Linked DNA regions of Arabidopsis thaliana. The protein of the gene in region 1 interacts with the protein of each later gene in a pairwise test. Each region holds a gene or a part of one and is shown on either strand. Other genes may lie near its edges. The genes, in order: CRK39 and AT1G49200.

What was found.
Region 2: the proteins of CRK39 (region 1) and AT1G49200 interact in a protein complementation assay, tested with the Arabidopsis thaliana proteins (one large-scale study listed by BioGRID).

What each region holds. Positions count from the first base shown.
Region 1 is NC_003075.7:2,252,018-2,269,210, reverse strand, and holds CRK39 (cysteine-rich RLK (RECEPTOR-like protein kinase) 39), read right to left. Parts: upstream 9,714-17,193; 5' UTR 9,632-9,713; coding exon 8,785-9,631; intron 8,702-8,784; coding exon 8,576-8,701; intron 8,496-8,575; coding exon 8,362-8,495; intron 8,276-8,361; coding exon 8,065-8,275; intron 7,986-8,064; coding exon 7,748-7,985; coding exon of another isoform or gene 7,744-7,747; exon of another isoform or gene 7,663-7,743; coding exon 7,524-7,662; coding exon of another isoform or gene 7,455-7,523; exon of another isoform or gene 7,358-7,454; coding exon 7,073-7,357; 3' UTR 6,891-7,072; downstream 1-6,890. Other genes in the region: AT4G04555 (Myb family transcription factor), read left to right, coding at 2,421-2,535, 2,761-2,837, 2,981-3,017, 3,168-3,230, 3,361-3,389.
Region 2 is NC_003070.9:18,188,765-18,204,079, forward strand, and holds AT1G49200 (RING/U-box superfamily protein), read left to right. Parts: upstream 1-9,462; 5' UTR 9,463-9,533; coding exon 9,534-10,214; 3' UTR 10,215-10,404; downstream 10,405-15,315. Other genes in the region: RR19 (response regulator 19), read left to right, coding at 2,578-2,755, 2,850-3,002, 3,104-4,105, 4,202-4,317, 4,415-4,834; AT1G49205 (uncharacterized protein), read right to left, coding at 9,899-10,024; AT1G49210 (RING/U-box superfamily protein), read left to right, coding at 13,230-13,907.

The DNA.
Region 1 (17,193 bases):
GAGAGAGAGAGAGAGAGAGAGAGAGAGAATCTAAATTTGTGTTCATGTTTGAGAACAGTTCTTAATTTCTGAATTACCTGTTACATCTATTCTTCTAGATTGATTATTAAAATATTCTATAGCTCAATGTCTTTAATTCATAAGTTTAATTGTCAATTTATTTGCATTTTTATTTACAACTCTGAAAACAAAACAAACAACTTTTTTTTTTGTTTTAGCTAAGAACAAGTCCTAAAACTCTTTAGAATATTAACCATGTATATTTACCTTGCGCTTGTATCGAGGAATTACTCGAGCAATCAAACTACATAGTTATACCATCAAATGTAGTTTAATAGTTTAGTGATTTTGATGGGAAATAGATAATTTGTTGTTTCACTGTTTTGGTGAAAGAATATTATTTTAAAATATGATAATATATATAAAGTAAAACTATCTTGGTTATCGTTGTGATTTCTAGATGGAAATTGTGTTGTATATAAACTCTCCTTTAAGTTAAAAATTTAAAACTCATCCAAGATTTTTTGTTCTTAAGTTACATTTTCCAAATGCATCAAGTTATTAAGTCCAACTCATATAATTAAATGTTATTTAACGAATAATGTCTTGTATATGCATCTAGATGCACAAACGAACCACTTCTAATTTTCTTTGATGCTCTTACATTTTTTTCAAATGAATTTTTCTCAAACCTCAGCATCTTTCTTTTGTTAAAAATAAAATTTTAATATATGAGTCAAACTATATGTGTCAATTTGATCTAATCTAATTCATCAACCCTAATAATTTTACTATTTGGATCATAATGAGTTGATGGGTCAGTGAGTTAGTGGATCGTTTGGAGTAAGTTGTAATGGTTTATGGTTCACCATATTAAACCATAAATTATCATACTTAACATCATCATTAGCTTTATTAATATCATCATGATCACCATATAATCATCATCACCTTTATCATCAATTTCTTCAATATAATCACAATATCATAATTTTCCAACCAAAAAATGAGATTCTGTAATTCTTTTGCTAAAGACACTATTTCACAATTTCTCAGATAGTAAAATTGAACAATTTTCTGCCAAAAATAGATGGTTTTCACAAGTTTTCCACCGCAATACGATATCACACTTTTTCCGCTAAAATATTAATCTATATTTTCAGTCATTGATGGTGAATAAGGGATTCATACCTCATGGATCAACCTAACTTATCACATTAATGATTTTATTATTTTGTTCTAAATGAGTTGATTGGTCAAAGAAATTATAAGTAGATGAGTTGATCAGTAATCAGGATCGCCCCTGATCTAAAGCAAGTAAAGCTAGGGCTTTAGGTGCTAATAATATATCATCATTTATAGGACATCAAATACGGGAAAATTATATGTAGCACAGTGACAAAGTTAAGTTTTAAGGTTAACATGAAGTCTTGAGTTTGAGCCAATATTTTGTGGTTTTTGAATATTTTTATATTTAAGTGTTATGGGTTTTAAAAAAAAAACTCATGCTTTAGGTAGCTATGCACTTTGGGCCTGCCTTGTCAATAATATGTAATGGTTTATAGTTAGACAAAAACTTTCATAAGATTATAATTTTTCACATCATAATTATCTTCATACTATCATATCATCATATTATTAACGCCACCGTCATCATCATCATCATCATACCATATTTTCCCCACAAAAACAACCTTCATAAATTTTACGAAAAACAAGGTTCCACAATCTTTAGCCTTACCTTTACCAATAATATGATTAACTATTTGGACACATCTACTTGCAGTACTCTATACAAATATGATGAACATTTTCCACAAACAACGATTCTACAATGTAACTCCATTTCTATAAGAAAAATGATTTCATCTCCCATTTATATTTTATATCACCTACAACTCATTTGTATTCATAGCTTTTTTTAAGAAAATCTAATTTTAATTCAAAATAAATATAATTCAAAGTTCTTTTTGGATGATTATAAATTTATTTATAACCTTTGGTTAAAAATAATAATAATTAATAACAAGGCTATTATTAGAGAAAATATGTTTGTTTTTTTGAGTTTTACTTTATTTTTACAAATATTCAGCATATATAGATTTAATTTTAGAATAAAAATAAAATAAATCTGGTAAGTATTCATTTTAGATTTTAAAATTTATTATGCATATTATTATTAGAGAAAAGAAAATTTGGAGTTGTCAGAAGATAATTATTTCTTAAAATGCAGTTTTATATTTATTTTTAGAGAATAGTAAAATCAAAAATTACACGTGACAACAAAAACATGTACTAGCACTAAATATTTTTTTTAAGGTTATTTTTGGGGAAAATATATAAATATATTTTTATATAAATTATCAGTATGTAGTCTAAAGTTTTATCAAACTAAGAGTTTTACAAGAGACAGAAGAACAATGAGAGGACGGATCGTTAGATCGTACACTAGGTCAAAAGTGCCGCATTGGCGTTGGACAGATGATCTTAATCTCCTTTTTATTCAAGTTGTTGAATTACTTGGTGGCGAAAGAAGTAAGCAATTTTTTTCCATATCGCAAAATTAAAATAAAGACAATTCTTCTAAATAAATTGAGAGAAAAACCAATCGCCATTAAAATAAACAATCTCCTATTTTTCCTTTAAGATACCTCATCTCTCTTATTTTTTATTATTATATATTACACATGATAATATTTTTCTTGATATCATCTTTTAGATTAACTATAATTAATATCAATATTCTCCTTAAATTTGCAGGGGCAACTCCTAAGGTTATTTTGGATTTTATGGATGTGAAAAACCTCCCAATTTCACATGTGAAAAGCCATCTTCAGGTCTTTATAGTTTATACACATAATCAGTTAGCGATATAAGATACGTCTATATACATAACATGTATATGCATTAATGTAGAGTATCATATTTATATTTAAGATAGTATGTAATGAAATAAATATATATTTTTTACTTTTATTAGATGTATAGGAACAAGAAGAAAGAAGAATCTAGAAAAGGTATAAGTAATTATCTTACATTTAAATTAACATTTAATAATTATGTTTGTAGTGTAACGTTGTATATGGTAGTATGTTGATGTTCAACATAATGCATAGTGACTTTATATCCTTTTCATTTATAATTATGCATGCTCAATCCTTTGGCAGAAAGGAGAATGATGCGAGAAATGAGCAGGAGGCAATCTCAACAATACATTCAAATCTACGAAAGTGCTCGAGATGCTACCCAATTTATCCAAAATCAACAAAGGTTCTTATGTTCATGTATTGAGTTAGGTTTTTGTATAATCGATTTTTGATTTGGTAAATAAAACAATTTTTTTTTTCAATTGTTTTGTAGGGTACAATTGGATATTAGTGAGAAGATAACTCCAGTTTTGGGATCAAGTAACAAGTCTCTCTATCAATCTTCAAGTGTATTTTTTCTTCTTCTTCTTTTTTTTCTTACATTAGTATCATGAATGATCATCAACATGTAGATTTGAGGCATATGAAACTAGATAAATATATACTTTTTCTAGGTGAGACTTAATAAAAACAGAGATAATGATGTTGTTGTTGCTTGTGGTGGTGCAATTGGCGAAGAAGAATTGTCCCTTGAACTCACTCTTGGGCGCAAGTACTAAGACAATTTTGCTTTCTATTTTTTTTTAATGCTTGATCTCTATATTATTTAATGCTTATCCCATATACATAATGAGATAGAAAAATAAAAACCAAATAAAATATTATGGTAGTCCTCTTATAATATGCTATAATGTGATTTTTCGTCCATTATATGGGTACACAAATATATTTAGAAATTTATTTAATTATGTTTTACAAGTTCTCAATATATTGCTGATTTTGCTTTTCCTAAGAATATTTATATTTTATTTGGTACAAACCAATATAGCTATTATATGATGTAAGTACATGTCGTTAAATGGTACAAACGTAAAACTACTAAATATTATGTACTGGTCGCAAAATGGTACAAACATAAAACAAACAAGCTTGCTTTGAAGCACAAATAAGTCACCAAAAGAGCTATTTAAATGTTGTTATAAAAAAGGTACTTAAATGTAGTAGAACATTTGACCCAAAAAAAAAGATGTAGAACAATTTTGTTTGCTATTGATATGATCATGGTGAGGAATCAATCCTAATTTCGGCACTTCAAAGATCTGGAGTGGATATTCTCGAAATGGATACGACACACGACTCAAAGACGAGATGATGGATTGAATGACGCCACAAAAGGATGCGGAAAAGCCTTTTGATAAGTCGAGAAAGATCAAAATTCGACATACGAATAGTGAGTTCCATGATCACATCATCTATGATATAAAATTGAAAGCAACTTTGAAAATATTTGGTTGCATTAGATTTTGTTTAGGTGTATATTTAGAAGAAATATGTTTGGAAGAACTATATTAGGTATGTATTTCTATATTTTTTTCTTTGGAGAATTAAAGTGAAAATAGTAAGGAAAATTGCTTAGATTGTATTTCTTAAAAAAAATCTTTCTTATATTTCTATGTAGAGTAAAATAAGAATCAAGTAGAGTAGCAGAAATTAGGAATTGATACTTTATCTGATTAATAAGGAAATATTCCTCTTATATTTATTCACTCATTCAAATAATCCAACTACAAGGCGATAAAAGGCAAAGCTCCAAACGTTTAAGACAACAAAAAGAAAGGCATTCCTCAATGTCAAAACAAAATAGATAAAGTAAATCAACAATGATTCCACGAGAGATTTGAGACAAAGACTAGATTGTGTTTTATCACATGTGAGATCACGGTTAGTCGAACGATCTTCCACGAACAAATCGATGGAAAACATGGTGGTCAGTGTGCATCGACATAGTGATGTTGATGAAGAAATCAAAGCTGTGATTCTCGCCGGCACGAGAAGCTCTATAGGGAGTAGAGCATCATCTAGGATTCGAGAGACTATGGCTTTATAGTCGGATACAGATTGCTTTGTGACACAACTCAGAGACTCGAGATCTCTCTTGTGACAAACAAAATCTTCTTCAAAGAACATGATCCGAAACTTAGTCATGGTGGAAGTTGGATGGTACTTGAAATTGTTAGATGGTATTATCATAGAGGGAAACTTAGGCATAGATTTTCCATGATAACATTCATTCATCCAACAAATTGGATTTGGGAACAAAGGTCGCAACCATAGATGAATCATAAGCCAGAGTTCTCAAAAGATACTTGTTAATCTATATCAACGAAGGTGAATTAGTTCTGAGATGGAGTCGTCGACCATCAAGAGCATAATGTCGACCAAAGATTGTCAAAATACAAATTGAAACAGACCTGAATATAACGTTGTTGGGCTTGGGCTTCACACGTGTTAATGTGCCGAATCTAGGGACAAATCCCTTTAGGTGAAACCCTAATTTCGTGATTGCTGACCAAGGTGGAAAGAGAGTGCAGCAGTTGATCAAAGCAGAAGGATAGATTTGCGATGAATTATGCTCCTTCAATGTAATAAGATTCGTTGGTAGAAAGCTATTGACATTATCTGCGGCGGAGGCGGTGAACAAATAAAACATGGGTTTTTGAGAAGGATTTATCACTCTGAATAAGGAATCACCATGCGTCGTCGAAAAACATCGAGAATGGCACATCTGATGGTCCAAGAGAGAGAACTCTTGCCATCAACGAAGTCCATGTTGAAGAGTTTCCAAGAGTGAACAAAAGTCCAGATCCAAAATAGTCTTCGGCGGTGGTCTTCTGGTCCGCCGTCAAGGAGGTTGCGAGCAAAGCGAGGAGGAGGGAGTTCGCCAGAAAATACTTTTGTCCTTGGTCGCTGGTTATTGAGAAAACGTATGGATCTAGTGAGTTCGAGAAAGTTGGAGAAATTTGAAGAAAAATAAACAAATTGGGGGAAAAAATCGTGAAAATGAAGACAAGAAAATTAAAAACAAAGTGATGAAGGGTGAAACTAGATATTTCTCGACACCGGCGAACAAAAGCTACGCCGATATCGGAATACGTGAACGGAAGAGGTGCTTCGATGTCCGTGCCTGAGAGAGAAAGACACTCTTTTTAAAAAATATTTTTAAGAAAACGAGTCAGAAAAGATTTCTTATTGGTCAGATAAAATTGAAATCAACTTTGAAATATTTGGTCGTCATTTAGGTATATAAGTAGAAGAAAAGTATTAGGGAGAACTATATTAGTTACTTGATATATACCTTTATAGGAAGTGATGTCAAAATACTCCGAAAATTCCTTATAATATATTTTTATCAACAAAAATTAATTTTAATATTTATGTTCAGAGTAAGATATATAAGAACACTACCAATATTAGATATATCTAAACAACCTAACTTATATAAGATTGTATAAAACCAAAAATGTCTCGTGATATACGGTTACTACATAACTATTGTAAACTATAAAATATCAATGTCTTAGAAATGATACAATTTGTAAGCTTTCAAATATAATAAATAATCATTAAATTTTATAAATTACTACTTTTAGAAAACAAATCATGAGATTGGTTAAAAAATCATCGTACGGGTTATATTACAGAACAGACAAGTTTGAATCAATATTTATAAAATTTTAAATGTCACTAACATGTCGTTTCAATATGAATTAAATTTTCAATATTTTAACAATTAACCCGTGGACTTGTGATATCTATTACTTAATAACAATTATAAACGAGAAATAGAAATATCTTATAAATAGATATAATTTGCAAAATTTTATATATACTAACTCTAAAATATAAATTTTAAATCTAGCTGGGGTTTAAAAATATATTTTCAGCTATTTATTTTTCAATTATATTTATCTGTGCAACATTTTAAGTTTATTTTATTTTATTACCTCTATAATATCAATTTGTGGTAGTTTTAAAACAAAAATGTATAAATAATTCATACAATTTTTTCATCTCCTTACATTCACTCAAAATACCTAAAAGTATTACTATTAGATGACATACACAACATATACTTTAAAAAGCACATTTGAATTAGCTAATTGAACTAACGATAACTCCCTTTTGGAACCAACATTCTGATTAACTCAACGACAACTTAACTCCGTGAAGACATCGTCGCTCATTGACATTGCACCAATTTCAGATTGGGATCGACTTCCAGTGAAAGCAGGAGCTTTAGGTAAAGGAATGATATTTGTCTCACTACCAAGCCAAATTATTACAGAGCTCATTGTTGGTCTCTTTGTTGGATTCTCTTGAACACACAACAAACCAATTTGGATCAACTTTATGATCTCATTTCTTGGTTTCTCTATTAAGAACGGATCAATTATAATCTCAGGCTTTCCTTCAACCCATCTTTTCCATGCCTACACCAAAAGTTTTTGAAGATTAGAAAAACAAAAACTGATATGTGAAGAAACTTAGAGGTCGCCGGTTCGAGTGACGCTTGGGACGAAACTAATATTACATGCTGTGGTTTCGGCCCAGAACCTCCTGGTATTCAAAAAAATATATATATGTGAAGAAGCTTACAAAAGCTGCAAGTCCTTCTCCTTCGAAGCTATTGTTTCTTTCACCACTAATCATCTCTAGAAGCATAACACCGAAGCTATAAACGTCAGATTTAGCTGAGATTTGTCCATGATTCAAGTATTCAGGAGCCATATATCCACTGCATATATGCAAACCAATAACATTAATTCATGGACTCTGTTTTCAAAACAGAGCATTTAAATATACCTTGATATATTTCTTACCGGGTTCCAGCTATTCTTTTTGTTTCAGCTCGAGTCTCATCGGAGTCGAACAACCTCGCTGTCCCGAAATCTGCAACTTTAGGGTTCATCTCTGCGTCTAAAAGTATGTTGCTTGCCTTCAAGTCTCGGTGAATAATCTTTAGCTGCGAGTCTTCATGAAGATAAAGAAGACCTCGAGCAATGCCTTCTATAATTCTGTATCTCATCTCCCATGTAAGAAGTGAACGCTTCTCATCATCTGCAAAGTTCAAAGAAACATTTAGTTTGCTAAAAGTTCTAAAACCATCCAAATTGGCAGCTGTCTTTCGAAGTCTCACCGAAGATAAAGTGATCAAGACTTGAATTGGGAACGAACTCGTAAACAAGAATCTGTTCATCTCCTTCATTACAAAATCCAAGAAGCTTAACTAGATTCCTATGCTGGAGTCTTGTCAATAGCGAAACCTCATTCTTGAACTCTATATCTCCTTGTCCTGAACCTTTTGTTAACCTCTTCACCGCTACCTCTTGCCCGTTTAGTAATGTCCCCTGAAACCGGTCCACAAGATTTGTTATTCACCAAAGATCAAGATCAATCAAGAACTCATAATTAGTAAAACAAATGTTAGTACTACCTTATAGACCGTACCAAATCCACCTTGGCCAAGCGTATTTTCCGATGAGAATTCATCGGTAGCCGCTAAGACCATACCAAGATCAAACCGTAACATGAATTGACCATCAGAATCAGAGTACTCTGCACTTCCAACTAAAAGAAAAAACAAGAAGATATAAGACTTACTCTCTACATCATGTGGTTGATTGAAGCAAGAAATAATGTACACTTACCATTGATTTTGTTGTATGATTCTTTCCTACGTCCATAGACTTTGATATAGCCAATAAACACCAAAATATTAATGAAAGTAAGAACCACAACTATTGCAATAATTCCACCATATCCAATGCTTCTTCCTAAAAATCATCAAACCCCTTTTAGCCTAAGAACATCTTTATCATACTAACAAACTTAAATAAGACTCAAATCAATGTTTTACCTTTCTTTTTTGTTATAGAGCTCTCGTTTCCCTGAGCTTGAGGTCGAGGAGGCGCAGGAACTCTTGTTACATTATCAAAAGCACCATGGAAAGCATATAGATCCCACCTGAAAAAACAGCTCGGACGATAAACCTCGCCTCCTTGTCTTCCCCAAACCTGTTCTTTGAAAAGCGTCACGCATTCTCCCAGACATGTTTTGCAATCTTGGGAAGTTATGTCGGGTGTGCATTGCATCAGCATGTAAACATTTGGAAACTCTGTGAACTCGGCTTTTTCGGCACTATAGTACTTAAGTACCGAGGAAGTTTCAGCTTCTGTGGCAGACTCGACGGTCCGATTAGCCATTGCATTCCATTCTTGTTCGAAAAGAGTCATGTTTTTCGATGGCTCGATACTATTCGGACTTTGGTATCTAACAGAAGGTCTAAGCTCGAGGTTCCCAAAAGTTGAGTGGTTTGAGGTACTTACAAGACAAGAAACATTGTCTTCCTCGTCTTTGTCCCACGTGAATGAATCCACGCGGTTTAGACAACTCGTTGTCGTTAGTATACCCTGTATCGCACTGTCGACACACCTGATACAAGCTTGTTGCTCGTATCCTCTTCCGCAGAGAGCAACAGCATGAACTATGTTGGGACTTTTGCCGAGTGAAGAGTTGTAGAATCCACCGTTGGTGACGACTTTATTAGGAAGAGTAGAGAAGAGATCGCGGCGATTCTGAGCGTAGCTGCTATTACCGTTGAAGAAGCTTCCGGTACATCCGACGGCGTTAACGATTTCCACGTTTTGAAGGACAATAAGAAGAGAAGAAGCGATAAAGATCATCAAAACAGAGTATTTCCCCATATCTTTTTGATCATACGTTATTGTTACGAGGATAATCAATTACTATAGAGCTTTTGTATATTATAAGGTGACTTGAGACAACGAGTACACACTACTTGACTTGACAAAATGGTGTATTGGTCAGATTTTGTTACTACTAGGAAAGTACTCGGACATACGCGTAGGTTCTCATGTCCATATATGTATACAGAGATGTTCATGTTCAAATTTTATTATTTTATGTGTTTTCGTTGTATAGTTAGGATATAATTGAAATACGGTAAAACCTCTATAAATTAATAATACTGAAACCGAGAAAATTTATTAATTTAAAAAGGTATTAATTTATCGATTAATTAATAAATTTAAATTATAGAGAGATTTTACAAATTTTGTAACTTTTTACAAAAATTTAATCTAAAAGGTAAATGAGACCATATATTTATATAAGATTTTCAAAAAAATTATTATCTTATTAATATATTGATTTGTATCAATTTTTACATTGATCTCAACTCGGAACGGAAGAATTTATTAATTTATATAGTTATTAATTTATCGAGAAGTTTTACTATATATTTAACATAAAGTAATACGATATTGACAAAAGATAGAAAGAAAGTAGTATGATATGTTTGTTATCAATCCCATTTGACAAGTTTTCATTTGTGCGTTTAAAACAACTATAGTATACATAACTGCTTAGTAAATTGAGAATGTTTATTCCTATCAAAACATACATTTTACTCACAAAACCTTACTTTGGAAAGTAATTGCAAATTTACAAATAACTTTTCATAAGTGATATTGACTAGTGAGGAAGAAAAACAAAAATTAGCGATTTTCAAGTAGCCTTTTTTGTTTTGTCAAGTAGCATATTAGAAATGTTATAAATATTTCGTCGTAGTTGGCAACGGTGACCAAGTAAGTGTCTACGGTTCTTAGAAATTCCATGATTTTTTTTTTTTTTGTCATCGGTTTTGTTTTGAGCTCAAAAGAATCAATCTTGCGGAATATTGTTTACATAAGTGACATAAAACGATTTAGTACAAATTTTCGTGCCAAATTGTCCGTTTTAACATTTGCATTACAAAAAATTAAAGATAAAGAGAAGCTTGTGAATTCTTCCTTGTCGCTCTGAAAATCCTCCAAATATGCTGAAAACGCCGACTATTCGGTTGAGGAAAAAACTATCTTCACCAGGTCTGAACAGTATATAAAAAAGGCTACATCTTGGTTGTCGGCACCAATCATACACTTTATCGTCCAGAGTAGAGTTTCGACTTCGGTGTAAAGTAAAAATTCCATGATTGATAATGAATAATATTAGGTTCCAAGTACACTAATACTTTTTTTCTTTTTTTCTATATTTTTTTTCTGAAAATACTTTTATGGGTGAATTGGAAAACTAACTAGTTTTCAACACTAAATTAAGAAAATAGCACTATAATTCTAGAAATTAAGAAACTAACATATGAGAACTGGGAAATATCCACTTTATTCTTATTTAACAGACCTTTTTCCTTCATCATCTTCTTCGTTGCTTCTTCTCTTCTCCCCAATTCAATAAAAAATTTCCAGAAAAATTAACTTTTTTTTATCTCAATCCATTCTAATTACAAACATCTATTGATTTAAAAAAATTAAACCCTAAGGATGATACTTTATATGAACCCAAACAAAAATAATTAAACTAAATGAAATCATCTCAAGTTTCAGTTTTTAGAAGTCTGAAAAAATCATGTTTATATACTCTTAATCTCTTTTCTCCTTTCTTAAATCGAATTGAAATCGATTCGATTTTGGGTTTAAATTTGTGTTAAGGAGATATTGATCAAACCAGAAAATATTCAATTAGATCTGGTGAGTCTTCGTATTTGTTTTCCTTAGTTCTAGCAAATAGAATGTAACAAAATTGAAAGTAAAATAGAAAACTATAGTTTTGTTCTGTTTTAATGAAGGCGATATAGAAAAAAAGAGATGAGATGCCAGAGATAAGAGGTGAGAGGTGAGAGGTGAGAGGTGAGAAGGGTAAAGTGGTCTTAATATACAAAATACAAAAAATATCACAACAGCTTTTTTTTTTAGGTTAGTTTCTTAATTATTAAATTTTTTTGGTTATAGATCCAAATTTCTCTACCTTTATTCCTATTTTTATTTAATAAGATATATACATTTTTTTTATAATTATTTTCTTTACTTTTAATTTCTTTTCTATAAAATAAATAAGTATAGTTGTGTTATAATGTTTTAGTAAATTTATATTTTATTTGATAAGATATATTTATCTTCTTACCACACAATATGGTCCATTAAAAAGTTTATTTATGAGCCTTTTCTGAAAGTCCTTGTTTGTTCTACGTTGATTGTTGTAATTCTTCGTTTATTTGCGCTGCCGCTACCGCTTCTTCAACCTCTCGTCCATTCCTCCCGAGCAAGCTTTGATCTGTTTCGCTTCTCTCAGGTTTGTCTCGAATCCGAAAGTAAATTTTAGTGAAGATTGACATGTTAAATTGTTTCTTGTCTGTTCATTAACGCGCGGCACGTCGAAACTTAACCTAGATTTTTTTTCTTCTTTTAAGAATCGGAATCCAAAATTTGTCATAGTGAATGATTGGATTGAGTTGATGGGGATAAAGTAGAAACACTAATTCGGTGGCACTGTTCAGATGATGGCTTTATTATGATTTCTCGTTGAATGGTTTTAAATGTTCAAATGTATATGGTTTTAAATGTTCAAATGTTGTTTGATATGAATTAAATGTAGGAAAATTATAAAATCTGCCATATTTTTCCCAATCGTTATGTAATCTGCCATATTTCTTCGGGCATTACAACTCATACCACATTTGGTTGTGAAATGTCCATTTTGTTCCCACGGTTTACTGAGCAGTTTTCGCGCTCAACAACTGCGTCTTTTTACAATACCTTTTATCTCTTTTTCATTGTAAACCGTGCGGAAAAACAACAACAGTTAACTCTCTCTCTTTCGTCTATCTCTCTCATACTTTCCCTTTCCTTCACCGATAACTTTCATCGGATTATGTCTCCGGTAAGGTCATTTCAAGTTTCTGCATGTTGCTATCTTCAATCATGTCTTCATATTTTATTCAGTGAAGTATTTTTGGAAAATCTTTAGCAAATCCCTTGTTACTGGTCTGTTATGAAAAATCGAGTTTGTCTCCCATTATGATTTTAGATAGTTCGTCCTCTCCTGTGCGATTCATTTACCCAGAAAGTTCGAAAACCTTTAGCAATTAAGCCGGTTGATTGAGTTTGTTCCGATTAATCGAAATGTCCCCCATTACAGCTTTTAGGGTTTTTCGTCCTCCTGTGTGTTTAATTATTTTATCACATCGAATAACTGATTTGATAATTGTTTGATTTTACCCCAACGCAGATGAGGTCTTCCACCAGCAAAGCGAAACAGAAGTCAGCGCTTGGCGGTGCCAGGCGGTCGGTGTCCTTTGAAGACGACGACGATCCATTTCTCTCTGCCAAATCAACCGCTGAGCAGAGCTCTGATCCGCCAATAATTCCTCGCATCCCTGAATTCAATCGGGAAAGACTTCCCAAGAGACTTTACGCAACTGACTGCTATCCGCTGAATGGGCGTATAAATACATACTCTAAGCCTAAGTACCTTCTTTATCTCGTCGATATTCTAGATGGGACGAAGGAGTTAAACTACATTTGCGCCCCTTGTTTTAGTCCCTTTTTTCAATTTGAAGTCCGTAAATGTTCTTTCTCCGGGAAACTGGTCCACCAGATGTTGTGTAGAGGCCTCTACACAAGGAAAAAACACGAGATTTGGTTTGTTTTTGCCGGTCAGCCCTTCCGGTTTTTGTTAAGGGAGTTTGCCATTCTTAGTGGTTTGAATTGTGGTCCTTACCCCTCTCGGAGAGACATATTGAAGTCGCAGCAACCCATAAATCTGAGACATCCTTACTGGAATGTCCTAATAGGTAAGGAACACAAAGTCGTCCTCATCAAGGATATATTCAAATGGTTGAAGACAGATAAGCTGAAGCCTAAAGAAGAGAGGATGGAACCTTGGAGAAGGCTTTGTCTCGCTGTTATAGTTATTGTTGAGGGGATCTTGATCTGTAGTTCCCAACCTGTAAAAGTTTCTAAATAAGTCGTTGAAATGGTGAAGGACTTGGAGGCTTTTGAGGCGTATCCCTGGGGACGAGAGTCCTTCCTTCTCACAAAGTTAGATCCAAGGTCAGCAATCTCCCAGGACTAATCACGAAGTTCAATCAGTCTAACAATTCAACACATGGATTCCCTCTTGTCTTCCAACTTTTTGTCTTTAACGTTATCCCTGAATTGGAAAGATACCTTCCAAACCCCGATGATACGCAGACTATCAGTGAGACGTCTCTCACCAGTTTGCCTCCGTTGAAGACTTACCACAACTCCAACATAATGGAGACAGAGCTAATTCCTAGGGTAATCTGTGGACCTAATTTTATTAGATTCTTATTAGTCTCTCACTAGTTTGCCTTTGATGATTTGTTTAGTTGATAAATTGTTTCGGCTTCAATGTAGTTGAGTATTTCTCCGTTGTTGCCCATTGATGATCCACCATACCCAAATATCAACGACTACTGGATCGATGAAGTTGAAGACCCGACGCTTGACTATATGGAAAGGGTCATTGGTAGCCGATACAAGTTCCAACAATCTGACTGGAGAGGTGGTTGTCGAACCTGGCCAAAGATCGTCGTTGATGAGAACCATCCTAAAGAAGACAATGCTCGAAAGGCAAAGAAGGTGCCTCCACACAGACCATCGGATATCCCTGATTCTTTCCAGGCTGGTCCATCTGGTCCCCAAAAGGGCCCTCTGCTAAAGGTAAAGGGAAGGTGCATGAAGAGTTCAGTACTCCACCACCGAGGACTGATGGACATGATATTCTCCATGGTCTGATCATGGAACAGGTTAATTCTAAATTTCGTGAATTGAAGGATGAACTGAAGGTTGAATTATTTGGGGACCTTACTGGTATGTTTATCTTAGAGAATTCTTTGTTAAAGGACGAACTATTAGACGAGATAATAAGCAATTTGCGCCATGGTGACAAGTTTCCAAGTCCCAAATCTGGTGGAAAGTCTCCAAAGTCCACTAGTGGTGATGGAATTGTCACTCCACCCCCTAAGGCTGCGTCCCAAAAGGACATAGCAGATGAGGGACAAATTAGTGACCCCGCGAAGAACCTCGACCCCAAGATTGTCCCTGAGAGACAAAGTAATATGCCCTCGCGAATCGCTGATTCGTCAAGCAAGAACCCTGCCCCAAGTGGACAGACTCATGCTCAACTCTTGAATGCATTGCAGCAGCAAGCCTGGTCTAATTATGGGGGATTGTCTGAAGTTATTAAGAACATCAACCAATCTCATGCATCTTCCTCTGGTCCTCCGCAGGCTGGAAAGTTTGGTTCTACTTGTTCGGATCCTTCTGGTGGTCCATCGTCCTCGAAATCCTCGAGTGATCACAATGTAAGTTTAATGGTTTGGCATCTATTACTTATCGTTAGAATTTCCTTTTACTTTAACCAATTGTGCTTACTTCTTATTTAGCCAAAAGACTTTCAAACGCCGCTGCAGACCATACCAGAGGACACAGAAGCGGAAGACCAGGACGCTGCTCTTGGAGACGCTGCTATTGGAGACGAGGTGAGTATTGTCCCTTTATTTCTTTTTTGGTATCATATAACATTGTAAATGTTTGCATAACATTTTTAAATAGGAAATGGATGGGAAGTCTGATAATGTGAATATTACTGAAGATCACAACGTAAGTTTCTAGATAGTTGTGTTTTTTTTTATAAATAATTATTTTGGTCTTGAGAATCTTATTTACCTTTAATTCTTTCTTTTTACTTGTAGCCCAACGATTTCCTAACGCCTCAAGATGAGGCTGTCTTAGTTAGTGACTCTGAATCCGGAGACGATTTTGATGACGGAGCAAACCAAGAGGACGAGGGTGATGATTCTCTTCAAGGGGACGAAGATCCCAAATAAAAGGACGAGGGTGATGATACTAATCCAGGGGACAAAGATCCCCAACGAGGGGACGAGGGTGATGATACTCATCAAGGGGATGGAGATCCAAAACAAGGGGACGAGGGTGATGATGAGAGTGAAGGAAGGTCTGACTCCGGTGATCAACAAGATGATCAGACCATGAACGAAGTATTCCTCATTTAATCCTTATTATATCTTTTATTGCGATTAGCAAACCTTTTGTTATTACTGTTGCTATACATCCAGAAGAGCTTCTTCAATCCTCAAAAGTTGATACTGAACAACTATCCGATCAAGAGGTATAAATCTATGTTTTTTCAATCTTTTGTTGTCTTTTATGGATCTGACATAAATCTTTGTCTTATAGGGTAATGCACATGCTGGTGTCCCAATTTCAGAGACTTTTCCCTCTAGGATTAAAAGAAAAAGAGAGGTTGGAGAAGGGGATACTTCTAAGTCTATGCTTCCTCCCAGAAGGGCAAGAAAAAACCCCAGCGTTTTTGTGAGACAGTTACTGTCTCAGTAGTCAAAGGGCCCCATGATGATTTGCACCCAATTGCCAAAGTAAACGATGAGGTTCGGAAAAGCTTTTTGTCCACTATCAAAGCTTATCGCCAAAGGTAATTAAGTTTTCCGCTGAATTATTGTTTTGGTAACTAATATTCTTCTACGTATCTATTAATCATTATTATGAATGAATGGTCAGGAAGTACGTTATCGAGGGACATGTTGTCCCTAAAACATTTTTCAAGGACATGCACACTCCTCAGGCTGCTGTCCACCAGGAGGTATGTACCAAATCAATGCTAAACCTGGGAATATGTTAAAATTTACTCAGATCTAACTGGTTGTCTTTATGTAATCCAATACATCGAGGCTATGCTAAGCCTGTTGGCGCGGAGGTATGGCGATGAGTTGGTACAGAGTATGGCTGTTATACTAGATTCTTCGTTCGCACTTAACTTTGTTGAGCTCTATCCACGTTATAAGAAGGCCAAAAGTAAATCTGACTGGTCGTGGAACAGTAAGATCTGGGACTATGTGAAAGGTATCGTCCCTGGCCGTAGCATCCGATAGGCTTGGTTCGCTGATGTCGACATCTTGTACACTCCTTTACATCTCACTGCCGGTCACTGCGTTTCCATTGTCATAAATCAGAAAGAGGGTACCATAGGTGTGCTAGACCCTATCGCTGACTCGAAGACTGCCAAACAGATGGACGGTTTTGATGAAACCTTTTATTGTCCTGATTCCGCTTATTATAAAGTCGCTTGTCCCCCAAGACCTGAGGACAAATGAAGTGCCCCTTGAGTTTGCTTATGATCGTCTCCCTGAGGTCTTCCAAACTGAGCATGCAGATGACAGTGGCCCGCTTGTTGTGAAGTTTATTGAGCTTCATTTTCAGGCCATTAGCCATGACTCCATAACTGAGGAGTCCGTTGAAGATCTCAGGATGAGATTTGCTGTAGACATCTATGAGGAGTTTATTGAAGCTCTTCGTGTTTGATGTCCATGTTAGAATTTATGTCTGTTTTAATATTTAGTGACTCTACT
Region 2 (15,315 bases), on another chromosome or scaffold:
TTTGATTTTGTTTTTCTTCACAATTGAATACTTCTTCTTATAAATAAGATTCAATCGAGTGTCAATATAGCAAACGACAAAAAAAAAACAAATTTGTGAGGTTTGAATAATGTAAAAAATTCTTCGGTATAACTTGATCTCAGCTGAATCAGGAAACCCTAATTGAAAGTTATTATCATATTTGGTTTTGAATTAGACAATCTTTGAGGTAAGGCACTAGAGAAAATCTACACATTGCTCCATTGTGTGTTCTTTTTGGAAAATTTTGTTGTTGTTATTTAATATATAACTTGCTTATTAAAAAAAAATCATAAATCGAAGCATCGTAAATATTTACAAAAAGATAAATGATAGAGTGCATCTCGCTATTTTAAGACATTTTACTTAAATATCTAATGGAATTTACGTGTTCAACACATTTTCGGGTTTTGAGTTTTATTTCCTCGTATATTCAACTAAACATATTTTCATGGTTAGGGTTTGTTTTTTTTTTTCCGTTATGAATAAAATATAACCGAGCTTCAATATTATGACAATAAAAAAGGTTTGGTGAGTTTTCAATAATGTGAATTTCTTTGGTATTCCTTCATCTCCACTGAATCATAAAACCCTAATTAGAAGTTATTATCCTATTTGGTTTTGAATTAAACAATCTTTGGGGCTAGCACTAGAAAACAATCTGCACATTGCTCAATTTTTGTGGGTTTCTTTGGATATTAGCGTTGTTATTATTTTATATATAGCTCGTTCATTAAGAGAACTCTATAAAGTGTCTTGAAAAATTACAAAAAATATGTGATGGAATGCATTACGCTATTTTAAGACATTTTAGTTATATATTAATTTTATGGACTTTAAGTGTTTGATATGTTTTTGTTATTTGAGTTTTATTGTCTTTTTAACTAGGGTTTGATTTGTTTTCTTTCTTCAACGCCGAATATTGTCCGTTATAAATAAGATTTAATCGAGCTTCTTGTAATACATTCTAAATTCGCTAATTCTCCTAACAATAACTAATGGCAATTTATATGCGTCATTATATATATATATATTATCGTTAATCATTAGTTTCCAAACCAAAATGAAGTTATTTATTTCTTTTTTATTTTTGTCAAAAATGAAGTTTTTCATTTACAAAAACAACTATTTATTCAAAATTTCGCTTTAAAACTACTTATCAAAGAAAATATCACATGTAAGTTGTTTGCATTTTTGTATCTCATAAAATACTCAGGAAACTTATTTATTTATGTTAACACCAAACTTATTGTTTTTTTCATATAACTCATTAATTCTTGATTAATATTGGTGGACATTTTTGATTAGCTAGATACTATGCGAAGTGCATAGTAGTATACTTTCATTCCAATGCATGCACTAATATTCAGTTCATGAATTACATATGATATGCATTCTGCATCCATGAATCTTGGATGAACTAAAACTATTACATGAATGATAAAAAATCCACAAATTCAGTATGGTTATAAAAAATACTAGATATCATTTCCATCTTAACATTTAAAATCAAACTATTCAAATTCAACCAAATTTGTAAAACATGCTCAAAGTGATGAGAAAAAACTGAATATAAAAGTAGATTTCTTATCTTTGGTTCATCCATAATAAAACAAAATTCGTCATAGGTACAATTGAATAATGTCACATCACTTCAGAGTCGTCAAACAAGGGCCTGTTCATCTACATGTCTCTATCTCGTTATGACAGAAACAACAACAAAGGGAATTGGCTCTGAAGCCTCTGAGAGAAACAAAAACACAATGGTAAGAGAAAAAAGTTGTTAACGTTGAAGATATTAACGTTGAAGATATTAACGTTGTGCTAGTATTTTTTAGTCTTGATGACTTGTCTCGTGTATATCTAGTCTTCACTCTTCACCACCGTCGTTTAGCTTTGTCATTGTGTTTGCCTCATAGACAAGTAAGTAACAAACAGCCCCCACAAATCTCTCTAGCTCACTAGCTAAGACAATAACAAGATGTTTTTTTTTTTTTTTTTTTTGGCAAATGGTCCATATGAAAATGTTAGTTTCAGTGAGCGTTTGGGAAAAGTCTTATCTTTGGAAGTAAATCCCTATAAGTTAATTAGAAATGTTTGTTTACTGTCAAGCATTTAATATAAAACTCTAAAATTGGTTCACATTTTCTGGATTTCTTTCATTTTCTATATAATTACAATTAATTAAGAAAAGAAATCTATAGCATAAATATCATATATATGGAAAGGGCAAAATTCAATAGCATTTTTTTTCTTTTCTTTTTTTATAATAAAATTGAATTAGTTGGTTCGACAAGTACCAGTTGTATTCTTTTTTCTGTTGTAACTATATTTCCTTTTTATGTATTTTCTCATAAATTGTATAATGTACACCTGTTGAATAATAACTAGTTTTCATAGCTTAATTTCGACACTTGTCAATTCTTGATGATAAGAACAACTGGTTTTGTACTATAAAATGCATCGAAACTTCTTGTAATAAGACATATACAACTTCAACATACACATAATCTCTCACTTAAAAATATCTCTCTCTCTCTCTCTACAAAATCAATTCCAATGTTGGTGGGAAAGATAAGTGGATATGAAGATAATACTCGCTCTTTGGAGCGAGAAACATCTGAAATCACTTCTCTTCTCAGCCAATTTCCGGGGAATACTAATGTCCTTGTTGTTGACACCAATTTCACCACTCTACTCAACATGAAACAAATCATGAAACAATACGCTTATCAAGGTGAGTCACTCTCTCTCTCTCTCTCTAACTATGAGGATTTAGAGAGTTGTTAGGGTTAGGGTTTATAACAGTTTTCTTTTCTTTTGTGTTTTAGTGTCTATTGAGACAGATGCAGAAAAAGCTCTTGCGTTTTTGACAAGCTGCAAACATGAAATCAATATTGTGATTTGGGATTTTCATATGCCTGGAATTGATGGACTTCAAGCTCTCAAGAGCATTACTTCAAAGTTGGATTTACCTGTAGTGAGTATGTGAATCTCAAACTCTCTTTTTTACTTTTAAAACTAAATTAAACCAAATTTGTTTTTACTAAAGAAAAATAACACAATCTATTTCATATTTGTGTAGTTATGTCTGATGATAATCAAACGGAATCTGTGATGAAAGCAACATTTTACGGTGCTTGTGACTATGTTGTGAAACCGGTTAAAGAAGAGGTAATGGCCAATATATGGCAACACATTGTACGGAAGAGGCTGATCTTTAAACCGGATGTTGCTCCACCGGTTCAATCAGATCCGGCTCGCTCTGACCGTTTAGACCAAGTCAAAGCTGATTTCAAGATCGTAGAAGATGAACCAATAATCAATGAGACACCGCTGATCACATGGACCGAAGAAATTCAACCGGTTCAGTCAGATCTGGTTCAAGCCAACAAGTTCGACCAAGTGAATGGCTATTCCCCAATCATGAACCAAGATAACATGTTCAACAAAGCACCACCTAAACCGCGAATGACGTGGACAGAAGTTATTCAACCGGTTCAATCAAATCTGGTTCAAACAAAAGAGTTCGGCCAACTCAATGACTATTCCCAAATCATGAACCAAGATAGCATGTACAACAAAGCAGCAACCAAACCACAATTGACGTGGACCGAAGAAATTCAACCGGTTCAATCAGGTCTGGTTCAAGCCAACGAGTTCAGCAAAGTGAATGGATATTCCCAAAGCATGAACCAAGATAGCATGTTCAACAAATCAGCAACCAACCCGCGATTGACATGGAACGAATTACTTCAACCGGTTCAATCAGATCTGGTTCAATCCAATGAGTTTAGCCAATTCAGTGACTATTCTCAAATCATGAACGAAGATAACATGTTCAACAAAGCAGCAAAGAAACCGCGGATGACATGGAGTGAAGTATTTCAACCGGTTCAATCACATCTGGTTCCGACTGACGGTTTAGACCGAGACCACTTTGATTCCATAACCATAAACGGAGGTAACGGCATACAAAACATGGAAAAGAAACAAGGAAAAAAACCACGGAAGCCGCGGATGACGTGGACCGAAGAGCTTCACCAAAAATTTCTGGAAGCCATCGAAATAATTGGTGGTATCGAAAGTAATCAAACTTTTCTTTAATCTCTAGCTAACTCTTTCATTAATCTCTTGATTAATGTTGGTTCTTATGTAATTATTTTTGGATTTCAAAATGCAGAAGCTAACCCAAAGGTACTTGTCGAATGCTTGCAAGAAATGAGGATAGAAGGAATTACTAGAAGCAATGTGGCAAGTCATCTTCAGGTAAAGAAAAAAACACACACGCTAAATATTGTTTCTTTCATGACAAGTATACCATTGAATTAGGTTGGTTTTTTCACATACCAATATAATACAAGTTCCAAGTCATTGAATTTGTGTTGCTGTACAGAAACACCGTATCAATCTTGAAGAAAACCAAATTCCTCAACAAACACAAGGGAATGGTTGGGCCACTGCGTATGGTACACTAGCTCCCTCTCTCCAAGGTTCAGACAATGTCAACACAACAATACCATCGTACCTTATGAATGGTCCAGCCACTTTGAACCAAATCCAGCAGAATCAATATCAAAATGGTTTCTTGACAATGAACAACAACCAGATCATAACCAATCCTCCGCCTCCTTTGCCCTATTTGGACCATCATCACCAACAGCAACATCAGTCTTCTCCTCAATTTAATTACCTGATGAACAATGAAGAACTTCTTCAAGCCTCTGGCCTCTCTGCGACAGATCTTGAACTCACTTATCCAAGTTTACCATATGATCCACAAGAGTATCTAATCAATGGCTACAATTATAATTAGTCATATAGCCCTTCTCTTTACTTAAGGCAGTCTATGTATGACAAATAATATGCGACTTCCCTTGTGAGTCACAATATTGTTTCATTATTCTTTCATTTAAACTCATTATATAAACCCATTGTTCCTTTCTCATAGATTTTTTATGGAATAATAATGTTATTAACAAGAAACTGGATTCTAATTTATAATCAACGAATTGCTAATTCTCGTGAATGATTAAAATTTATAAAATTAGAGCACTTTACTAAAGACGTGTACATGATATAACATATATGCAAAAATAAATAAAAAAATTGGAATCAGGAATAGTTTTTTGGTTATTTGTTGGAATGTGAACTTTATTTATCAACAAAACTAAAGTTATTTATATATAACAAGTACATAAAAAGCATAAGCAAAAAGATTTGAAGATGGGATCCCATCATGTCCAATATAATGGGTAGAGTCTGGAGACTAGAGTCTAGAGAAGAACATATAACTTTCAAAACACAAAAACTCCCACAAGAGAAATTTCAATACATCCGGAAGAAACGGATATGGGGTTTGATCATGTCCTTAATTAGTCAAAACATTTGCAGTTCCAAAGCCAATACTATATATATAACTGAATAATGTTCGTCGATTCTACGTTTTATGTTTTTAATTGATTCAACATGTCTCAACCCTAATATTTAGCTACATATATAATGAGATTCAAACTGATGGGAGATGGAAGCTAAGATATGACAAAAGGCTACAAATGTGGTTTGAATCCAGTATTTAACAACTTTTGATCTTTAGATTTTCAGCTATATTTCTATTTAAATCAAACGTTGCATTAATTATAAAATCGATAATTTTATTTTGAATATAATTTAATATTATATTAAAAATATAGATATAATGAGATATCGTTGTTGTAGTTGCTCATTTTAACACGAGCAACCGTTGCTAAGCTTGAGGAAGAGTGGTGCACAAGGATCCTTGAGAATATATACTAGATTATTGGTTGATTCCTAGAATATCCATATAAGTACGTAGTTTTTATTTATTTTTCTAATCCTCGAAACGAATACCAAAAATGACAGATTTTAATTTGAAGGAAAAAAAAAATAGTCATATGTGAAGATTTTACTTTGGTGTTTGGTGAGTTAAAGAACTGGTTGGAACACTCTAAACACTAGCTTGCATAAAATAAAATAAAAGGTAACAGATAAGTTTTTGATCTAACGAGATGATAATAGACAAAAATAGCACAAATGTTCTTGGTACAAGAAGAAATAGAAAGAGATTGGCGTATTACTCTTGAGCACTATACAAACATGACCAATTCGGAAATTAATATTTGAGATCCTATTCAAAAAAAAATTAAAGTTCTATTTTTAATACATGAAATTATATCTTAAGCATAGAACATGACCAAAGGGTGAGTTAAAGAAAAAAGAACTCATATTCATTACCAAAAATCAATGTAAATTAAACGAAAATGATAATGTGATTATATAATATAGAGAAGAAATTGTGGTGAAAGATATTAGAAAAGAACATAATATTTCTCACCACAAAATCTTTCTCTTTGTTATATAATCATTATGATGATGTCTTCTTACAAAGGGCCTAAAGAAAAAAGTGGAGATTTATACAAATATTTTATATGACAATGCATGTAGAAGGGCAGTCGTGTGTACATGACCCATCTCGGTGAAAGCAAAGTGTAATGTAAAGTTTAAAATTTAGGATCAAATCCCGACAAACCTAAAGCATTAAAACTCTCTTGTTTCGTATATTATAAAGTTATTTCTTTTGTGTGATCGCGTAACTATGTTTGATATCAAAAGTACATGAGAGAAGTTAACGGTTCTTGTAATTAACCTTGTTTCGAAAAAACATATAACAATTCAGAAATTGGTATGGTTGTGAATTTTATGGAAAGGCAGAGTCGTTATGGTGACAGGAGAAACCAAATTATGTAGAATTTTTTTGTTTCTTCTAAAAGTTAAAAGGGTAATTATAAGATCTATGAGTTATAGAGAAATTAAAAGATTTAAGAAATGAGGAGATCTCAAAAATGAAACAAAAAGAAAAACATCTTAGAACAAACAATGAAAATCCAAAAAACGAAAAAGTTCAAATCTTAAAGATAAAAGAAGGAAAACAAGATCAACAAGTACTATTCTAAGTATGTGGTCATGTTCTTTTGAAAGTATTTTTCAACAAGTTGATCGCTACTTATATGTATGTATGTCAATTACAGAAAACATGTGGTTATGTGAGATGCAAAATCTTTATGACGATTCTCGACTACGATGGAGGTAATAAATCCGAGGATTTAGCTTGTCACGGCGCATCAAAATAGAAGTTAAATACTTATTATGGCTTTACTACATTATCACTGATTAAAATAATTGAAAGTGCAAATTAAAAAAAGAGATAAAAGAAGAAGGATCACATACTTGTTCTCTTTTGGTGGGCTAATTGTTGTCCACAAATTTCGTTAGCACTATAGCTCCAAAGTCTTTTAATCAATATAATCATTTTATCAGGTAAATAATTTTTAATTGAAAAAGGGTATGCATACTAGCTTAGTAATCAAAATTTGCTGACAAATATAATCTTGGTTAAAAGTGAAATGCATTATTCCGACCTCCACTTACTACATGATATATATGCTGTATATGCATTTAAATATTACTTTTCTTAGAAGTTTATCCCTATACTTAAATGATTTATTCAAAATTACACACTAATACTAACAAAAAACGAACTGTAGAAGTCCTTGTTCTGTTCCATTGTTCCACTAACTCCACATAGTTAACTTTTAAATATGAACAAGTTTAGTCAAAGCTTCAGTATTTTTCATGTGAAGAAAGACTTACTTCCAATTTTATTTTTTTGCAAGATTTAACTCTAATTTGGATTGGAACTTTTATAAAAATTCTAAGAGTTTCTTTATCATATAAACTGATGATAAGAAAATTAGTTTGTTATCGAAAAGAGAATACTTTATTTATTTGTTATCAGCTTATAACGTATTGAATCCGGAAAGGAAAAGAGAAAAACACCCAAAAAATAAATTCATAGAAAACTTTAGAAGAATTAAACATTTAAATAAAACGATCATGAAACAAATAAAAAAGCGCATTAAGAACTAAGAAACATGGGACTTGGTGTTAAGGTTGGGGAAATTTAGGGGAAGAAAGCGACAAAGTTCATATCCAAACGTATAAATTTATAAACGTTCCTTTTTCTTGAAAGGTATAGAAGAAATAAACAAATGCCGACCAAGAACATGAAACAAATAAACAAACAACAGAACCATTTATATGAAGACATTTAGATACTTCGAAATACCAAAACAGATTTTGCAATATATTACCCGTAAAGAGAAAATAGTTTAGTAAGCATAGGAAAAGTCAAAAAGATCTTATGATCTGATATTTTTCCCTACATTTCGTAAATCATATAAAGTTAGGGAAGATCTTATGATCGTAAATCATATCAGAGGATCGGGCTATATATATACTTAAAAATAAACTTTCAAAAGCATAAAAACTCTCTAAAATTTCGTGAAAAACAAGTTTTTTAGGTAGATAAAAATATTTTGGTCTAAAAATTGGCAAAATCATAACTAAAAGAGACCGTTGGTTTTTACAAATAGCTAAAATAATGTATAAATTGCATGTCATTTTAAGAGATAACATGCATGTCATATTAAAATAGCGTGTTTTGCAAATAAATATTATCGCATACTTATTTTCTCAATTTTGATTCAAAATTTTAGAAGCTCAACAATGAAAAGGTAACTAGAAGGAGCAACAAATTCAAATATCTATTTGGTTAAGTAGCAATAAATCAAAATAGTAGAAGGATGTAGTAATTTTTCTTATGAAGTCTCCAAACATTTATACTTTTAAAATCGAGTTAAACTATGATGCAACATATTCAAATATATTTGGTTAAGTAGCAAACAATAGAAATAGTGAAAGGAGCTAGCCTTTATTTTTATGAAGTATACCAAAAATTAAAATGTTAAAATCGAAATTACCACCCAACCATTCTCTAAATTTTTTAAGTAAAGTGAACTATTAAGCAACAAAACATATACACATGGAAAGAGCAAAGAAATATTAATGCTAAAGCAAAAAGACTACTACTTTACACACCACATATTGTCGGCAAAGCATTAAACTGCGAGGAAGATACAACAAAATCTTCCTCTTCTTGATAAAAAAAACAACAAAAATCTAAAGTAAATAAAATAAACTTCAATCACTGAATAATGGAAATCAAATAAAATCCAGCTTATCAAGAATCAACACAAGACAATAAAACAAAGTTTTCCAATTTAAAGTGAGACAAAAAGTAATGATAGAAAATTCAATGTTGGAAAAGTGAGAGTCCCTACACAAGCATCTTGTGGTTGGAGAGGTATGGGCCAAATGGCACAATAAGCACTCAATGATTCATGAATTTGGATAAGCTTTATGGGTCCCAAATTCTCTCAAGACTCACTTGAAAAAAAAAAAGAAGAAAATGCACTTTCTTGAACAGAATTATTAGACTCCAATTATAAAATTCTCAGTCCCCACTCAGTAACCAGTAAGCATCTCAAGTTGTATATAAGACCACATTGAATTCCTCTAGACCTTAAGAAGCAATAACCAAACAAAGCCAAGCAAAGCAGAGAGAAGAGACCAAAGCTTTTTCAAAGACTAAAAAAATGGCTGCAAATGAATTAGCTTCTTCTTCAGTTCAAGCCTTCCAAGAGCAATCCCTTGGCGGTTTTGTCTCTAGAAAGCTGCTTCTGCACAACCCATTTGACCACAACACTCAAAGAGCCTTTGCAGTTGCACCATCTCCTCTCATAACCCATGAGAACAACCTCAGTGGAAATGTTCTGATGCTTCTCTCAGTCCTCATCTGTGGCATCATCTGTTGCCTCGGGTTACATTACATCATTCGTTGTGCATTCAGACGTACTTCAAGTTTCATGATCTCTGAGCCTATAGCCGGTCTTTCAACACCATGCGGTTCATCAAACAAAGGAATCAATAAGAAAGCTCTTAGAATGTTCCCAGTTGTGAGTTACTCACCTGAGATGAACTTGCCGGGGCTTGGCGAAGAGTGTGTCATTTGTTTGTCAGATTTTGTTTCCGGTGAACAGATTAGGATGCTACCTAAGTGCCACCATGGGTTCCATGTTCGTTGCATAGACAAGTGGCTTCAACAACATTTGACTTGTCCAAAATGCAGACACTGTCTGGTTGAGACATGCCAAAAGATCTTAGGTGACTTCAGTCAAGCTGATCAAGTGGCAGCAACACCAACAGCGAGCGTAATTGTCAGGATTGCTCCTCTGGAACCTGAAGGAAGAGTAAACATTTTAAGAGAAAGCAGCTAGATGCCAAGAGAGGCAGAAACCATCAAAAATCAAAATTCGTGATTTAGTTAGATAGGAGATTTTTGATCTGAGCTTAGTTCATGTCTTTAGCTATAGAAGGATACCTCAATGTTTTTTTATGTCTTTCTTTTTTGCCTGTAGCACAAAGTGTATACAGATTACAGAGAGAATATATGCCACTTTTAAGTAATATTTCACGACTTCATCAAACTTCTTTTTGAGAAAGTAAAATTTTCAATGGAATGTAAACTACATTAAGAATCATCTATTACCAGAGTGTGATATATTTCTATGTGTCACAATCACTACACAGAATTACACATTCAGTAGACAGAACAAATGGTTTCCAGTAATGAATGGCAAGGTTTGTGTGAAGTAGTGTTTAGACAACTAGATGCATATACGGTGCAGATCTGATCTCATGTATGCTTGATAGTGACATATGGACGAAGTTCGTGAAGAAAAAATGTATTTATCCACTTGTCTCAACCCACTTAAAACACTATCGATCAATCAACACATGAGTCATCAAGATAAGAAATACCAGAGGATTCTTCATTGCAATGATAAATAAATCAACTTTGCCATAGGAAAGTGATATGGAACCAACCAACCCATGATAAGGAAAACCAACCGATCTAAGTATATAGGTAATTCCTAAAAGCTAGTTTGGGGATGCATAGTCATTTAAGATTATCAACCTCCAGTCAAGTAATAAACCCATCCTATGGGATATAGCCTTGACACCAGACATAGCTATGCCATGATATACTATCAAAGATGTAGAATTGATTTGTAAGAACCGTCCTGGTCGAGAAAACCCATTTCCACAAGATCACACACCAAAATCTTAAAGTGAGGATAAATCTACCAACATCAAACCAAACAGTGGAAGGTTCAAGTTAAAATGACGGTTGATGCCTCAAAATTTACTCATCCTACATCTTATCAAATAGGTATATCAGATTGTAGTGCATGTTGTGTCAAGATTTAGTATACTCCTATATACTTTTTCTCCGAAACAGGTGCACATCGTGTGTATGCACACTACCTTGTTCAATATATTGTCATGATAGCTGAACCGAGAAAAGGCTAGGCCTAACGATTCAGATCTACTCACTGCTATCTCGTAGTATGCAAACAAAAACAAAACTACAAACTTAACTTACTTTAATTCCATCTCTATGATAAATTAAAAAAACTTGTGCATATATAAAAGAAAAGATTGAGTGATCAACATGAATATACCACTTGATATCTTTGTCATTTTCATATATTATCAAGATATCAAAATCTTATAATTGAGCATTCCATAACCCATTGTAAGCAAACCTACTAAACTGGTTTAGTTAAGGACCACATCTTCTAACTACGAGATTTTGGAGATCCTGTAATATAAAAGGAAGCAACAAGTCATAAACAAGGTTATCAAAACAAAAGACATGTCATAAACAATGATGGTTCAAATAAGGCTTAAGATCCTAGGCATTTCTGATTGGATGAGATACAAATAAAGTGTTCAAAAGTTCAATTAATAAGTAATACCCGACTAACAAAATGGGAATTTAATAGTGATTGAGGCCGTGCACCAAAAAGAAGTGTTATTGGTTATAATAGAACACTGTGGTTAACAGGTAACATTTGTCCATTAAGCATCTGAGGGATATCAGATCATATCCAATGATATGCCATTGAGAGTGTAAAAACTGCTATAAAGTATTTTGTTAGTACAACTTTATCCGTGATAAATTGCAGATTTAGCTTAAGTAATGCCCTTACAAAAATAGCTAGTAGTCTAAAATTGTTCAACTCTCTCAACAATTGAGACTTTCTACAAAATTGCCATCAATATAATAAAGATGTTCAAATTTCTGCTACTAGTTAACTGCCATTGCAATTATTGTAACGTTCTTTAGGTTGGTGAGAACTATCTACTCTGCTATTCACAGAGTTATAAGTAAAACAATGTAAATACAGAAGCACTAGAGGACACTGGTAGCTTTGGGAGATAATGTTTCAAAATACTATCTTAGTGCTTTAAGAAAATCCTGGCCACTTGTTGGACTAAAGACCTCAATCAATATGATAAGATTCATTTCTACACTTTTTTGTATTATAATACATATACTAGCTATAATTCAAAACTAGGCTAATTATAAATTAGAGAAAGTTTTGCGACATACCGTTATAAAGCAAAAGAACTGTGCACAATAAGTCTATTCCCTACATTGTCAAAAGAGAAAGAAAAGATATTTAGTAGGAACAATGAACAAAATGATAGTTACTTAAAAGTTCACCAAAAAAATGGCATTGAAGAGAACATGATTGAAATAGGTTCCACCAAAGAAAGTCAATAATGGTACATAGATGATTAAAAGACAGGACTAAAGCTCTGTGTTTCAGTATTTTAACTTTCTAGCCAAAGTGTAATGTTTCTGAAACTTTTCTCAAGTTTAAACCCATTGGGTCCAAAGCATTTCTACATAATGAATGCATCCAGCAAAACTCTTACATGAGTATTTTGGCAGACATGTAACTACTTAGGGAGATCAAAATAGATTTTGCAGATATTACCCTGACTCACAACATAAAATAAAATCCATCTTATAAAGAATCAACACAGGACAAACATGATTAAAGAAAGTTTTCTAATATATAACACAAAAAGAACTAATTCTATATTCAATGTCCCGACACAAGCATCTTGTGGTTAGAGGGGGTATGGGGAAACGACACAATCAGCACTCAAGAATTCATGGAATTGGATAAGCTCTTTCTGGGTCCCATATTCTCCCAACTCTCATTTGAAAAAAAGAAGAAAACACACTTTCTTAAACAATAATTATTACTATCCAATTATAAAATTCTCAGTCCCCATTAAGTAATCAGTAAGCATCTCATGCTATATATAAGACCACTTTGAATTCCCCAAAACTTAAAAAAGCAATAAGCAAACAAAGCCAAGAAAAGCAGAGAGAACAGACTTTGATTTAAAGCTTTTTCAAAGAGTAAAACATGTCTGCAAACGAGTTACCTGCTTCAGCTCAATCCTTGCAAGAACAATTCCTTGGCAGTTTTGTCACTAGAAAGCTTCTTCTGCACGACCCATTTGACCACAACTCTCTTCGAGTATTTGCGGTTGCACCATCTCCTCTCATAACACATGAGAACAACCTCAAAGGGAATGTTCTGATGCTTCTCTCAGTTCTCATCTGTGGCATCATCTGTTGCCTTGGGTTACATTACATCATTCGCTGTGCATTCAGACGTTCTTCACGTTTCATGATCTCTGAGCCTATATCCAGTCTTTCAACACCACGAAGTTCATCAAACAAAGGAATCAAGAAGAAAGCTCTGAGGATGTTCCCAGTCGTGAGTTACTCACGTGAGATGAACTTGCCCGGGATTGGTGAAGAGTGTGTCATTTGTTTGTCGGATTTTGTTTCTGGTGAACAGCTCAGGCTGCTCCCCAAGTGCAATCATGGGTTCCATGTTCGTTGCATAGACAAGTGGCTTCAACATCATTTGACATGTCCGAAATGCAGACACTGTCTGGTTGAGACATGTCAAAAGATATTAGGTGACTTCAGTCAAGCTGATTCAATGGCATCAACACCAACAGAGAGCGTAATTGTCAGGATTGATCCTCTAGAACCTGAAGGAAGAGTAAACACTTTTAGAGAAAGCAGCTAGATGCAAGAAAAGCAGAAACCAACATCAATCTAGAATCTGTCAGCAGTTAGATAGAAGATTTTAGATTCTAAGCCATAGAAAGGTAGATACTTCTATTCTTTTATGTCTTTCTTTTTGCCTGTAGCACAAAGTGTCGACAGAGCGAATATAATCTCACTTTACAAGAGCATCTCACGGGTTCATCAAAGTTCTTTTAGCAAAGTTATTTGTAATGGTGGCATGTCAACTATGCATTCATATCCAAAAACATTAAGAATTATCTATAACCAAGACTGATAAGTGCTAATCATATTCTTATGTGTCACAATCTCTACACAGAACCAAAAAGTCATTAGACAGAACAAATGGTGTCTAATCATATTCTTCTGTGTCACAATCTCTACACAGAACCAAAAAGTAATGATGCTAAGGTTTGTGTAAAGCAGCAGTGTCTAGTCTATGAAGTGCATGCATTTACGATGCAGACCTCATCTTGTGTATGCTTGATATTGAAAAAATGTATCTATCTACTTGACACGACCCACTTCATAAACTACCTATATACCGCAAAACCAATAAACACACATCGGGATAGCAAATAACACATGTCAGATGATCCTTCCCCCCAATGATAAAGAAATAAACTATGCCATAGGAATATGGACCCAACCAATAATAGAGAAAAACAACCAACATAAGTTTCAAGTTAGACCTGAAGCTACTTTGGGGAATGCATAGCCTTGTAAGAATCTAAACCGCCAGTCAGTGATAAACGCATCTTATGAGATCTAACTTTGACACCAGACATATCCAAGCCAAAATACACTGTAAAAACATAGAGTTGATCTGTAGATACCATCCCCAAAATTCATACACCAAAATCCAAGTGATGGTATGAAGCAAGATAAGTGAGAAATCATTCACCATTATTAAACCAAATACGGTTAAACTTCCAAGGATTCTTATCACAAGCATCTCCTACTCTACTCTGAGGGTTGATACCAGTTACCGTATTGATGCCTCAACTTACCCACCCTTTATCTTATCAAATTGGTACTAAAGTTTGTATCAAATCGTGGTGTCTAGATCTAATATACTTGCTCTATTGTTCTTCTTTTCCCCACAACAGGCACACATCTTGGGTATTGTACACTAGCTACTGCAAGATATTTTCATGAAAATTGAACGAACAAAAGGCTTAGTGTAACGATTCAGATCTTGGAAGTCCTATCTCCTAGTATGAAAACAGAAGAAAACTACAAAGTTGGCCTAATGATAAAAAAAAAAAAAAAGTTATGCTAATATAAAAGAATGCATGGAGTGTTCACTAGATATAGTGATATACCACTTGATATCTTAGTCGTTTTCATAGATTCTCCAAATACCAAACTCAGAATCTTGATCACTGGGTGATTCAAAACAGCCAAAC